Lepisosteus oculatus: one gene and its partner. The protein of the gene in region 1 purifies or fractionates together with the protein of each later gene. This does not show direct contact. Links are inferred from orthologs where the notes say so. Each region holds a gene or a part of one and is shown on either strand. Other genes may lie near its edges.

Evidence for each region. Proteins that work in one complex are often made in the same cells at the same time.
Region 2: the proteins of fkbp5 (region 1) and akt1 purify together in Homo sapiens (affinity purification with western blotting; 3 studies listed by BioGRID, with this or other methods). This does not show direct contact. The link is inferred for Lepisosteus oculatus from reciprocal best matches to the Homo sapiens genes FKBP5 and AKT1.

The regions. Positions count from the first base shown.
Region 1 is NC_090700.1:40,510,444-40,518,136, forward strand, and holds the start of fkbp5 (peptidyl-prolyl cis-trans isomerase FKBP5), read right to left. Parts: upstream 3,012-7,693; 5' UTR 2,702-3,011; coding exon 2,667-2,701; intron 1-2,666. Other genes in the region: pth4 (parathyroid hormone 4), read right to left, coding at 5,822-6,149. UniProt on the Homo sapiens protein: Immunophilin protein with PPIase and co-chaperone activities. Component of unligated steroid receptors heterocomplexes through interaction with heat-shock protein 90 (HSP90).
Region 2 is NC_090703.1:17,257,956-17,265,179, reverse strand, and holds the start of akt1 (RAC-alpha serine/threonine-protein kinase), read right to left. Parts: upstream 3,004-7,224; 5' UTR 2,708-3,003; intron 1-2,707. UniProt on the Homo sapiens protein: AKT1 is one of 3 closely related serine/threonine-protein kinases (AKT1, AKT2 and AKT3) called the AKT kinase, and which regulate many processes including metabolism, proliferation, cell survival, growth and angiogenesis.

The DNA of each region.
Region 1 (7,693 bases):
ATGTTGTGTGTGCTGACGTGCTTGGAAGAAGCTAGGTATGTTTAAAATCTGGACTGAATGCAGAAACAGGTGAACAAAACCCCAAACAAGCAAGCAGATCACTTAATGGCATCAATTAGTGTCAGTGATTAAGGTCTCCCTTGAAACACAAAGCAGGCTCTAGAGGTGGGGTTGGGGACCATACTTACTGGGGGAGTCCTGATCGGAACAAACAGCTATTGCTGCCACTAGCTAGACATGAGGGACAAACCATCCCCCTGATCCCCCTAAACCATCCCCCTAGAGAGCCACTCTGCGCACTGCTCTGCGCCGCTACACCAAGCGGCTCAAAGGAGTGTCAAGATGTTGCTCTCTGGGCTTGAGTCTTTATAGACAAGAACTGAAGGAACCGAAATGGCTATAAATAACAGAGCCACTTCTCTACCATGCTTTCTGTTACTTCCAGCTTCGGCATGACTGTTCATTCCTCCTGTTGCCATTCCAGACACGGATGCGCTTCCCTGTGTTTTTACGCGGCATTTAATTCCAGACTTCAGCTTCCAGCGCTGAACAGAACCAAGGACAGTATGTGCATTATATTCAAATCCACAAGCAAATTCAAGTGTTTCGGGCCTTTGCCTTTCATCTTCAGTGAACAAACTCCAGTGTGAGCTGAACTCCTGTCTGGGGTGGGCAGTAACAGTGTCCCATCTGAACTCACAACTCAAGACCAGAGCCCTGAGGGAGTGAGTGTGCGTGTGTACATGATATGATGTTTATGATAGTGTGTGAGACTGTGTGATTATTAGTATGTGTGAGTGAGAGAGCGTGTGTATGTTTAGTGTGTGTATGTTAGTGTGATAGTGAGTGTGGAAGTGTTAAAGTGTGTGTATATTTGTGGAAGTGTGTGTGACTGTGGGTGTGTACGTCGGGGGGGGGGGGTGGCTCTGGAGGGCAATACTCGCCCAGCCAACAGCCCACCCACATGACACCGCCCCCCGCATACACCCCAACCCCCCCGCAGCCTCCCTCACCGAGCACCGCGCAGCCGCAGCCTGCTGTGCAGCGAGTCTGGCCGCGAGCCAAGCGGAGCTGGAACAGAATGTGCTCGTGAAGCACAGTGACAGTACAGGTGGACGCGAGACAGGGGCGGGGCCACTGGCGCTCGTGTAATTTCTATATACAGTACAATGGATATTTATCATGGATACTAAAACACAGATAACTGTAGTACGAATCAGTTTCCTTTAGCTGAAGAACTTTGCAAAATGTTCTGTACATACTGCTGCCCTGTAAATCGTTTTCACGTTTCGCCCGTCTCGCTGTTCTTCCTCTCTGGGAGAGAGAAACCGCAGTAGAAGGGTCTTGTTTGTTCACCAGCAGAGGATCGCCTCTGTGCCTGCTGTCGGGCTGCAGTTTCTTCCAAAGTCTGCCGGTGTCCCGCCTCTGTCGGCCGCTGCGAGCGGCTTGTCTGGGGGTCCGGGGTGCGCGTTCAGGGAGGTTTTAGAAAACCTTCCCTGGGTGATCTCGGACAATCTGCTCCTTGTTGACAGTAGGCAATGGGGTGTCAAAATGTTTTACTTGTCTGTTAAATTTACCACGGAAAACATTCTGACAGTTTTGTCTTACCTCGGGGACAGTCACACTCGGTTTGTGACACACTCTTAGTGACATTCCGATGGTCTCGGTATTTGACCTGAGGTCGTGATGCCGATCCGATACCCTGAATGTTTGTCACCACTGGCTGTTTCAGGAAGTCCAGCTGAGCCAATTACAAAAATTCAAAATAATAAGAAATACAAAATTCATTTACACTTCTCCCAAAGTTTTACCATGATCGTGCAGTGTGCATTGTTTTACGATAATCGTGCCATGTGTACTGTTTCACCATTATCGTGCCATGTGCGTGCTGTTTCACCATGATTGTGCTGTGTGTGTACTGTTTTACCATGATTGTGCTGTGTGTACTGTGTTTCACTGTAATCGTGCTGTGTTTCACCATGACTGTGCTGTTTCACCATGATCGTTTCGTGTGTACTGTGTTTCACCATGATTGTGCTGTGAGTGCTCTGTTTGTAAAGAGGAGTTGTACGGCATGTTCTTCAGTACTGTACAAAGTATGCAGAGCACCTTTGAAATCTCACTGGTCTCTTGGCACTAAATTTGTGAACTGTCTTGGAGGGCATGGGGAGAAAAACACCTCTGTGATTGATTAAAATAAATGACTGTGGACACAGACTCAACACATCACCATCACTTTCCCGAGTGAGATCACCGTGGGCAGATGATATTTGACATAAGTTACATTGTGTTCCGTGCATTTACTAACTGCAACCAGAAATAGCTCAGGAGCTTTCATCACAGCTGCGCAGTACATGCTCTGTCTCTTTCTATGTTATATACAAATGAGCAAGCTCTCCCCCGACACTGCCTGCTGCATGGTCAGGGTGATACACATTCCTAGTCTAAAAACACAGACAGGTTCTGTCTCTGAGGACCCCAGGCTCATACCCCCAGCAATTATTCCCATGCGCTCTGATCTGTTTGGAGACCAGGCCCAGACCAGGGAGGTCCCAGTGGTGCACTGACCCTGCATCAGCACTGCAGTGACACACAGTGTTTCCACTCAGATGCAACCACAAAGCTGGGACCCACAGCCCCGCTGATCAGAAACAGTCGATCCTTACCTGTGCCCACGGCGGTCACATGGCAGAGAAGGCATTGCCTGCAAGTGTATTGGCCTGAGTGAACACTCAGAAATTCAAATCTATGTTGCACAAACACCCAGAAGCCACTTCTTCATTTATTCCACTGCTTGACCAGATCCCCAGCCTCCCTCCCAGGTGTGGGACGAGTGTGCAGACCATGCATTGTAGCTTCCTTAGTGACGGGCTGCTAGACGACTACTTGTGTGAGAAGTGATGAAATCGGCCCTGAGAGTGTCTGAGAGCCACACACGCCAGCGCTCATGTCCTTCAAGCAGGGACCAAAGCATGCCTGCATGCAATTGCAGCCCTGGTGTGCCTTCAGACTGGAACAGACAATTACAGGTTGTCTGCTGGCGCCGAGTGAGACGCAGGGTCCTGCTGCAGACAGTTATTTCAGCTGTGGAGAAGGTCACTGGAACTGCTTAATTGTTCTCACAACTCTTTCATATGCATGCGCAATCGAGGTTTAAAAACAAAACAATTACGGAGTCTGTTTTTACCGTATCACTTTTGCATTCACAGACAGAGAGGAAGGAAGTGCTCATTACTAATTTCTTCTGACAAATGCAAGCAGCCAGTCTTGCTGTCTGCGGAGTTTTGTTAGTGTGACAGTCTCAGTGCTACAGCTGTGAAATCCAGTTGCAGCACAGCCTGTGTCCTGCTTCGAGGAGCCAGGCACTGTGGCCTGTCTTTCCCCTCTCCCCCTTCTGTCTCTCTGCAGATAGCGGGGCGCCGCCTGTGTGTTTGAGAGCAAGAAGGACAAAACGTGAGAGAGGAGTTCAGTCCAGGACACCGCAGTGAGGAAGTAAAGTAGTACAACATGTCCTGTACTAATCTGATAAAAAAAAGCAGCCGCGTAGTAGCTATTTGTCTGTGGGAAGTGTGCTGAGAGTTTTCATTCAAAGGCTAAAAATAGTGCCTGGAACAGTGGAAAATACAGTGCGCTAACTCACAGACCGCAGTCCGAACGGGCTCGGCCAGTGCGTGGATGCAAAACCGATACATTCATTTAGATGCCTGCAAAAAATGGAAAGTTAAAGAAGTATATGAACACACACCGTCTCGCACACAGACACACACACTCTCATACACATTCTCACACAGACACACACACTCTCAAACACACATCCTCTGGCAGAAACACACGCATTCTCACACAAACACACATATTCTCACAGAGACACAACACACAAACACACACATTCTCACACTGACACACACTCTCACACAAACAGACATTGTCACACAGACACACACACTCTCACCCAAACACACACTCTCACCCAAACACGCACTATCACACACATTGTCACACAAACACACACACATTAACACAGACACACACACCATTCTGCACATGGAAAAAATGAACATGTTTTTTCCATAAACACCAGATTCCAGCATTATTATTCCTGGCTTCTATAATCCTCCGCAATCCTCTGTGTGACCCTTAGGAAACATGTCATGGTACCAGCGTTCTGAAAGCAGGGGAATATCAGCAGGAGTGCCACGCAGACTGACTGGACTGAATGCTTGTAAGGGCACCTCCATCAGAACACAACGCGGCCTTCACATGAAGTACCGTAAAAGACACACAGGCGCTTTTTTCTGTAAAAGCCGACAGGTTCCAGGTCTTCACCAAACTGGCGCGACCTAGCGCCAGTGTGAGGCTGAGGCACAGGAAGGCAGAGGGCAGCAGAAGGCCAGACAAGGAGGCAAAGACAGGGCACCACTCTCAAACTGCGGGCGAATGCCATCACACGCCGGCACTGGGGCCACAGCACACCCCCCAGCAACAGGGCACAACGCCTGCTTTATTCACTGGGTCTGCTGGGGTGCTGGGCTTCGGGGCACAACAAGAGGAGGCAGCAAGGGGTTCCCATCGCTCTGTCACTTCATACCGCTCCCCCAAGATAAGGCAACGAGAGAACCCAGACACACAGAAAGCTGCTTCAGCATCCAATCTGTTTCATTTCCTTCCACTGGGCTTTATCTTCTGACACTTTCTGAGTAACCCGTTCGGACTCGGCGCCTTCGCAATGTGGTACGAGGAAGGTGATACAGGAAGCTGACAGAAACAAGAGACAAAAAAGTCCTAAAAGACAGGGTCCAATTGCACCGGAAGTAACCACCAGATTTTATTTTTTATCACGTTACCCGACAGTACATACAGTATGAATCTTCTCCTGTACAGAATGTCTATTTGCTCGCTCGTGTGTTTCACGCAGAACGCCTCGTCTGCAGGCAGGGTGAGGGGAGGAAATGGGCACATGGAGCTGTCAGAAAGGTGCCTTGAACTTCACCAAAGCGGAAGATTTAATCGGCTTATCAAACCCAATACAGCTCTACAATAATCCAGTTGTGATTCAAAAGCATCCTATTCATACAGCGAAGTGTAAATGTGTCAAGCAGGAGTATGTAGGGCCTTTGGAAAAGGAAGCTGTGCGGAAATCTCAGAGAGTGTTGCTGTCAGCAGTGCTTGCTCTTCTCCCTGCGAGCTCCTGGGGCCCCGGGGCTCTCTCCGAGCTCCTGAAGCTCTCCCCCGAGAAAGCCTCTGGCACAGGCAGTCTTCTCCCACAGCCGCCGTCTACTCCGCCGGTTCGTCTGAAAAAGCTGAAGCGGCCGTGCTTGCGACAGGGGACAGCGGACAGGGGCACACGGACGATCGTGAGCTGAGAGAAGGCGGCCAGTCCACAGATCACCCTGGGGTGATCAGAGGCCAAGCGAGTGAGACCCTAGAGAGAAGGGGGGGGGGGGGCTTTGCTCTCCAGGTCTTTCTTGGGGGTCTGAGCGAGAGAATCGGGTGACTAGGACGTCAGCCCTTCTTCTGTGCACAGAGGGCCTCTCTGACATCAGTGCCCGGCAGGCCGCAGTGCAGCACTGGCGGTGTCGCAGTCTGTCTTGTGGCTCGTGCTATACCTGCCTCTGCTTTCATCTCGCTCCAGCACTAAGAAACGTGTGTCAGGGATACGTCACAACACCGACATTTTCTTTTGCGCTTACCGCTGCACAAGAGAGAGGTCAGAAATCTAAACTAGACCAAATTTATTACCACTGGATGCATGCTGTAAATACAAATATACAAAGGTCTCGGTACAGATCAATGAAACTGGCAGCTGCTTGGCCCTGTGGGTCTAGTTCTCTCCGTCTCCGTGGTCCGTGCTGTCCTGCAGGCTGGTGAGGTGGGGCTTGTACAGGGCGCTCCACAGGGCCTGGAGGGAGCCCCTGCCCAGGAGGGACAGGAGCAGTCGCAGGGCCTCCCCCCGGCAGGTGGTGGGTCCGTGCGCCCCCTCTTCAGCAGGGGGGTCCCGCGCCGGGCTGGGGTCGCTGGGGTCGCTGAGGTCGCGGGTGCTGGCAGTGTGCAGACCCCCCATGGCGCTGGACAGCCAGATGAGTCTCTTCAGGCTCTGCATGGCCCGACCCTTGTCGTGCATGTACTGGTGCTCAGTCACAGCCCGCCTGCTAAAGACACACCGATCACTGTCCCACCTGCTAAAGACACACTGATCACTGTCCCACCTGCTAAAGACACACCGATCACTGTCCCACCTGCTAAAGACACACCGATCACTGTCCCACCTGCTAAAGACACACCGATCACTGTCCCACCTGCTAAAGACACACCGATCACTGTCCCACCTGCTAAAGACACACCGATCACTGTCCCACCTGCTAAAGACACACTGATCACTGTCCCACCTGCTAAAGACACACCGATCACTGTCCCACCTGCTAAAGACACACTGATCACTGTCCCACCTGCTAAAGACACACCGATCACTGTCCCACCTGCTAAAGACACACTGATCACTGTCCCACCTGCTAAAGACACACTGATCACTGTCCCACCTGCTAAAGACACACTGATCACTCCCCCGCCTGCTGAAGACACACTGATCACTCCCCCGCCTGCAGAGGACACACTGATCACTCCCCCGCCTGCAGAGGACACACTGATTGCTGGCGCACTCTAACTTGTAGAGTGCCTTGAGAATGCTCTGGGTTGAAAGTGCAACAATATAAGAATCTAATTGATTGATTGATTGATTCCCTAGTCCTTCACTCCCAAAGTCTTCAGCCTTTCTCTCTTCGGATTTTTAGCTTCCTTTTAATCTGGCTCTACAAAAACAGATTTGGAGCTGCAGACTCACATGTACTCACTTACATCCAGTTTAAAGTAATTCAATGACTGGCTTCATTCCATTGCCTGCAGATGTTTAAACACCTTTTAAAATCAATCAGGATTACTTAGATAAGGTGTAAACTGGTTTTGCTTCTCTGAAAACACAAAGATCAGCAGAAGTAGCTGTCCTGGTTATATTAAGAGTCTCAATTAGAAAAGGGATTGTTTTGGGTAATTCAGAAATGGGACAGATTATATAAAAACGGGGGAGATCTTCTCCACCTAGCCCTGTTCTTCTCAGCCTCGGGGTAATGCGCTTAAAAAATCATCTCTGTCGTATTTCTATATCGTTTCCCTGACTGAACACGTGGTTTGCACCCTGTCCACGCTGCACTGGGTTTTTACCAACCACGTGTTCCAAGACGTGCAAACCTGTCCGCGCGCCTTGTCAAATCGCTGTCCGTGCGGGACTGGGCACGAGCTGACTGCGCTTCCCTGCCCTCGAGCTGCGGGGACACGCTGAGCGCGCTCGGGCAGTGCGTGCGGCTCGTGCAGCACGGCCGGGAAGAGCTGGTACGGAGGGGGGTGGGGGGCGGAGCGGGAAGCGCATGTGCAGACCTCAGTGGGTCGGGCTCCGATTAATAATGTTATCTCTTGCTTTCATCAATTCAATTAAATTCAAGGTGCTTCGTTAGCATGTCTCTCGTGCATTTGATGTATCCACCCCCAGTTCCGTGTTATCTCGCCCTCACTCCACCTCCCTGTGTCCCCAGAGCAGCGGTCCCAGGCGGGTGCGATAGCGGTTTCGCGGACGGTTATTAGTCACACTTCAGCTCTTCGGCGCCTGTAGCAGCGCAGCGGCGGAGGAGGGGCGCGAGAGTGA
Region 2 (7,224 bases), on another chromosome or scaffold:
TGTACTACATTGGTGTAGAGAGGACAGATCCAGTCCATGTCTTCGACACACTCAGTTTGATAAGCTTATAGAGGAGCACTAATGTAGCACCCAGGCTCCTGGGATTTAGGAAGGACACCCAATTAGTTATACACGTGCATCTGCAAACTCTCCTAATATTTATTAATATCATGTGCAATGTGAATACAAAGGCCTGCTGCATGCAAAGTTCTCAAGGCCCAAATTTAAACTATACCAGGATTGACAGTATTGTACACCAAAGTCTCTCAGAGCTATCCCAGCATTCTAGGATTTCACAACAAAGAAAAATCCTTCCAACTCACTGTGAGTGATGAAGACTGTCTGGCCATTTAGTGAGAAGTAAATGTCATAATACACAACCTCCGACTGGGAGGTGAAAATGGCTTTGAACTTTCCAAAGCTGAGAAGGCAATTTTAACTGGAAAGCCTTGTTTTTAAATAAAAATGGGCAAAATTCCTCAGTTGGTCTACTCAACAGAGGAAAGAGGAACCTTTCAAATAGATCCTTTTTAACACATCACACTAACTAAAAAAATGCAGATGAGTACCTGTGGTAAATCCAGGTTGTTGTTTGCTAATGCAAATGAACTCAGCCTCTAATGAAACTGAAATAATTTTCAGGGAATGTAAGCAGAAAGCAGAGACACCCCGAGTAGGAACTCACAAAAGAGTGTGACTTGTGGTCTTGAAAGATGAAGAAGTTATCACAATTTCAATTGAAATAGCCTCTCAAAGACTCAGATGCTACATGTTAACATCCCTCTAAAGAGGCTCCAGTGTCTGATTTTAGATGTATAATGTAAGAGTGAATATCCTCAGTCTATCAGAAACTACTTTTTAGTTGCACTCCTCAGGTTTATGGGCATTCTCCAAATCAAAAAGGACTGTACAATTTTCAAATGACTGCATGATGTAAGACTAATTATGACACTGCTGCATCACCTTTCTGATGGAAACCTCCATCACTGTACCTCCCTGACTGATATTGGACCACATTCACTACATAGCTACTTTCTGCACAATGCAACACATAAAAGAGAACTCAGGTTTGTTTGTTTTGGTTTTTTTTTGCTTTATGACTATAGCTACTTTGCTATTTGCCATTAATAGGGTTAGGTTTCAAAAGGGATATAACTGATAAAGCAATAATATTAGTAAAATGCTGATGTGCAAACTGAGCATGTTGTTACTTATTTGACTTGAGAGTGCAGTGTAATTGTGGTAGAGAAAATTGTGCTACACTGCCGACTAAAATTTTAAAGAGTGCTCCATTTTTATGTTTGTCACGATAGTACGACGAAACAAAAAGTACAATCACAGAAACGGTTGATAATGTTCGTTTTTTTCTCACTATCAGATTTTCTCGAGATAAAGCTGCTGTGGATTTTAAAGCCCATTTGTTGATATTGGCAAGAATCCTTAGGTTCTCCAGCGTGAACTTACTACAGGATTGCCGAATAAAAAATGAATCAGACAGCTCGTTCTAATATAACAACACTTCAGTACTGCTGTGGGAGACCTGTCTTCTACTGCCCACGTGCTAATGTCATTTATCATAACCCTGTGATTACTCTTCGTCATTTCTGAAAAACTAAGACAATGGTGAATTTGCTATTTAGTAGAAATCTTGGCTATAATTTATCGAGCACTTATTATTCAACTTGGGTAACAGTCTATTGCAAAAACTGAAATTAACTCAGATTAAGTTAGGGTTCGAGATCGTGCATAGGCGTAAGATGTCAGTAACGTTTCCAGACAGCGCTTCATAAAACCGATTATTTACACTAAACGTCAGGCAGTAGCAAAACGTAGCATTCCCCCGTAGGACGTAAACATTTGCAGATATAAAGACAACTGTTTTGGTATTTGAAATGCATTGCTACCTAATTAAATGTTTATGGCGCCAAACCTTAAACATAAGAGTTGAGATATAAATATTTATCTAAATATATATATATTCTAACAATATCTTGCACGGACGGATCAAAAGACGTTCTTTTTTATATAAGAAACGCCAGTAAAAATGTAAGGCTGTTGTAAAAAGCAAAAGGTCTTAAAGCGACACGATCTAGAAAAGACCCAAATGCAAAGGCAATATCGGAAAATCGATTCCTGTTGCTCTGAAGAGAGAGAACAAATCTGCAAAACGGCCACTGAAGTTTGTCTTTTAAATCGCTTGTTACTGAAGCTGTATTTACTTTACTCAGTGAAGTGAGGAAACAAACACTGAGTGGACTTTTAAATTCAAACTGAGGCTTCGGAGATGTGCGTTTAAATTCAAACTTCCACAGAGTGCAGAGAAAGGCGAGAGATACAACCATCGGCCTAGACATCTCAGAAGCGATCACGACGGTGTACAATACAAAAAAAAATGACCAATTAAAAATCAAGAGAATTTTTCAAGAATTAAATTCTCAGCGGTAAAGCCTAACAGAACACCAAAGTTTGGGTAGTGAAGTAACTTCGTTACAAAGCAGAAAATAACGTAAAGTAAAATGCGCTGAAGAATTCGGAATATAGTACATATATTTTTATCTTATTTTGCTAGTTTTTGACTGGGCTCTGGGCCTAGCCAGGGCAGCCTGGGTGAGAAATAGCCGCATCCCATTCACTACAATGGGATTTTGCCTCTATGGCTGCATTCGGGCACAGACCAAAAGCAATCAGTAAAAATGCAACACTTTACCTGCTCCAAGGTTTCACAAGTGACTTCGGGTCATTATTATGGACGCCCTACGCGTTTTATTAAGCTGCTATGTCCTTCAATAGTCTGCAAAATTCTTCTCATTTACTCCGTTTCTCTTGCTGGTTCTTCCACTACACCTCCCAAGCCTGGTCTCTCTATTGCTCCTGTGTCACACAGTCCTTTCTCTCCCGGGTCCTAAAGCCGACAGATCAATGCTCTTTCACCTTATTTGCCTTTTCCCCAACTCGGAAAGGTTCACTTTCCGCCGGCTGCCTTGCTTTGTAAGAATGAAGAATGATGACTCTTCATGCCTCCACTCAGCGGGATTTAAGCAAATAGCCAGTACCCTAACGCATACACCACAACAAACGTTATTTAACCACCCTTAGAAAAATACATATTTGTGTAACAGGATTCTTCAAATCAAGTCAGCATTTAAAAGCCTCCAATAGCAAAGAACTGTAAACGGCAAAATTCCCCTCTAGCACCTAAAATCAGTTTATCAGGTTCAATAACAACACGCTGACTGTGCGCTTTTTAGCTTTTTTTTTACTTCCTTACCAAATTTTAACATCTAGTTTCACCTTCATTGCACCAGCAAATTCCAGATATGACAACGGTAGATAATACTTGGTTTAATCCCCCTAACTGGTCTGGTGGAATCCTCATATCACAATTTGTAACTCCAAGAATTTCCGACTGACTTTGGTGGTTAGTTTTTTTTTTTATTGACACCTGTTAATTTTTAACTAATAATCAGGACAGAACCTTAAATGTTCAGAAACATTCTAAAAACAGGAAATATACTGTATATTCACCTCACCACCACCATTCCACAAATTGACAAATAAAATGCATGTGTTGAGAACATCAGTGTGCTTATGTCATTTGAAGTGAATCAGACTGTAGATTTATTCATATTCTGGCTACTGTGCCTAACATGTCTTGAAGCAGAAGGAATTATTAGTTACCTTAAAAAGTTATATTTTTTTATTACTATTTCTCTTTGCCACTCCGGTTAAAACTATTTAAAGTACACACATTTCACATGCATACATGTTTCAGCTAAAATCTAAGAAATTGTATTTCACAGTCACACTGGTTAGGATAGAAAAAACAAAAATGTAACCTGAAACATACTGCAGTATGATGAAAAATATTTTATGTTTATGTCAGTTTATAGTATTTAAATATATCCACAATAATTGCATAATGGAACAAGTAATAGGTTTATTCCGTGCTGAAAAGAGAAGAAAGAAAACACAACGTTTCAGCTGTGAAGCCTTCTTCGGGTGTGAGCCAAAATGTTGAGTTTTCTTTCTTCTCTTTTCAGCATGGAATAAACCTATTACTTGTTCCTTTGCAGCCTACGCATGCTGGGGCAGCTTCCCACCCGAAATAATAATGGTTTGGTTTCTATGATCTAGGTATATTCACATTGTCATTTATAACCAGCAGATACATTTCTAATTATGTAGTGCAGATCAAGTGATTTTTAAAAACAAAACCTAATGATTGGAGCTGTCTCTTGGGTATTCACCAGATATTTTAATACAGAATATGTGAAACACACCTGCTGAAAAAAACGTTAGTAAAAATGTAATAATAATTGATGACTTGATAGCCTCTTTCTATCATTATTCTGCATCACTTCAATATTCAGAAGACACCTAATCCTTGTGATCTAGACATACAATTAATTAATTCAAATATGTCTCAGAGCAGCGCTAAGGCAATTAATTAAGCTGAAGCAAACTAATTAGTTGTGATTGTGAGGCTAGGGGAAGAAATGTTTGAAAAGAACAGAAGAACAAAAGCTCTGGTTTTGGAATTAACATCTTAAAAAATAGAAACCAAAGATTTATAGTCTCAAATTAGATAGTATGATGTCACATATGACTACATCTGGTTATTATTAAGTTGCTTTTTTGATAGTCAGTGAATGTAACAATTGGTGCACAGCTGTCTGTGATACAGTTAAAATGAATGAAAATAATGAGTATAAATCAGAACTACACTACCAAAAATACTTTCTAAATATGTATGTCACCTTTTTTGGTAACAGACAGTCAAGATAGATCTCTTTTCTGGCAACCCTAGTATCTGAAACTGCCCACACATGTAAAGAGCATCCTGTAATTGTGGGAAGTACCACCCCCCTCCCCCTCTAAAGTTATGCAGTGCATTTCCATTTTCAGTTTCGAATAGTCAGGTATTCTTAGAAGTAGGAGTCGTGTGATGAATTCGGCCAAAATGCTGGGTTTTCCGAGATGTGCGTCTACTCTTCTGAGGAAATCCCCTGACTGAAACGGTGACCAGAAAGCTCCAAGACAAGAGGCTGCAGTCAACAGCATCCAAACTCCCTTTTTTCTATTGTGCCACAAGCTGGAGACTGGGGTTGTACAGAATAAAACAGCTGAAAAGTGAGGATTTCAAACAACTCCAAGGACATTTTAAGTGCCCGCAAGCACTAGTCCTAATGACTGACAATGATCTTTTGAAGTTCACTGTAACAGATCAATGGCATAAAGACCCTGGGATATAGCTGACCTTCCAAATAAATAAAAAATATTGCTGCTTAGTCCTTAGTTGTCCTTCCTGATGGTTAAGCAATCTTTGCCCAAGGATATCATTATTATTTTAACAATTCAGTTTTCCATTGTATGGGTTTTATCAATTGTAGCACACTGTATTTATGTTAAAACAATGTTTTTTTATTTATGTTTAGGACACTGTTTCTATTGTTAAAACTAGGGCGAATTTGTCGGTTGCTGCAGAATTTAAAAAATATCAGACAGATGTGAAATTGTATTTGTTGTGACACACCGTTAGCAAAAAACAAATTTGAAGTGTGGCACTGAGAGAAAAATGCTAAACAGCATCACAACATTGTTTTTGATAGAACCAGTATAAAGACCAGGATAATACTTAAAATAGAGATCCTGCACATAAACCATTACACTTTAAGAATTTAACACTGACACTATAGTTTGACTTCACTATGATTCTAAACATACTGTTAACATGCTTTTTGTTTGGCATTAATGAGCTTTGTCATACATCCATCACTGCAATTCCACAGAAAAATAAAACCCTGGAAGAAAACCTGTCTGTCTGGCTTTGTGAATTAGTAGCTTTTCCTTGTGCTGGTGACTCCTGAAATCAGTCAAGTACATTAAAGGATAGAAGTTGTGCTTGACAACTAAGCAAAGCTTCCTCCCATAACTGGCAGCACAAGTGCCAAACATCAGCACTCTGGTCCATTCGGAACACATCATGGTTCCCTTCCTGCCACTTTTACTACATGGTCATTTTTGTACCACTGTGTCTCCCTCCATGCACATATCTCAGCTGTCTATTTTTTTCACTGTAAAAAGTATCACAGCTCCACATATAAAAATGACTATTAAGCATTTTCAGGGGGAATGTCTGAGTCAGCAGTACAAGGAAAAAGGACATAAACAGGGAACAATAAAAAGACAGGGAAGAAGGATAGAAGGAAAAATAGACAAACACTGCACACCTGAGTTTGGAATAATGGTGCCTGGTGCCTTTATAAATTCAGGCGTGTAAGAGTGCAATGGTGATGGACCACATCTGGCACAGGCTTAATGATGATCAAAAAGCAAACCACTAATGTAGGCTACAGCTATGGGTACGCTTTAGTGCAAACATCATACAACTGCATAGCAACAGCAAAACTACTGTCCTTTATTATTGAATTTTATAGTACCCTGATGAATAATTTGTGCATAAATGTTTATGCAGATTATGCCATTGAGCCACATCAGCTGGTTTGCATTGGCACCCAGTCAGTAGTGCAATCAGAGCTGAAAATGTAGTAGCACTTGGAAGCGACAAACATGATTTCTATTCTCACTACATGTTTAAATTATTTTAAAATGGGCTCAAAGTTGGAAGAATGTGCTTGCTTAAGGCAACAGCAGGCTTTTCCAAAGGGGTGGTGGCTATTTTTTTTTTGCTTTAAAAATCACTTGGTTCTGTTTATTCGGACACATTTTTAAAAGAGATTTCGTACTGCAGCTGTAGTAACTGTTCAGCTGGAGTTCGGCGATGCTGATAAAATGATACAGGTAGACATACAAAGCTGCTGTGCAAATTTATAACAGCTTACTAGTGTAGTGCCTCAGGCTTGAGCGCTATGACTTGATAGCAGATTCCATAGGAATGTGAGCCCTTTGTTCCCCCCTCACAAGGAATGTATTGTGGTAACACTGGTGGGGAATGCTATTGATGGTAACAAGAAAGAATGCATCTCCAGGAAGCCCATTCCCATGTGAGAAACCACACCGCTCGTACTCTGCCAGACCTTGGGCAGTCCAGCCCAGCCCCAAAGCACAACTGTTGCTTTGTTCGCCCACACTTTCAAGCCAGACAGTCAGTGTTGAAAATAAGAGGGTCACATTCACCAAGGATCGTGCACCCACAACTGTCATTTGCACCCATTTGTGTTATGGCAACTCATGTCTCCGTTGTATGAGCAGAACTGTACTTTG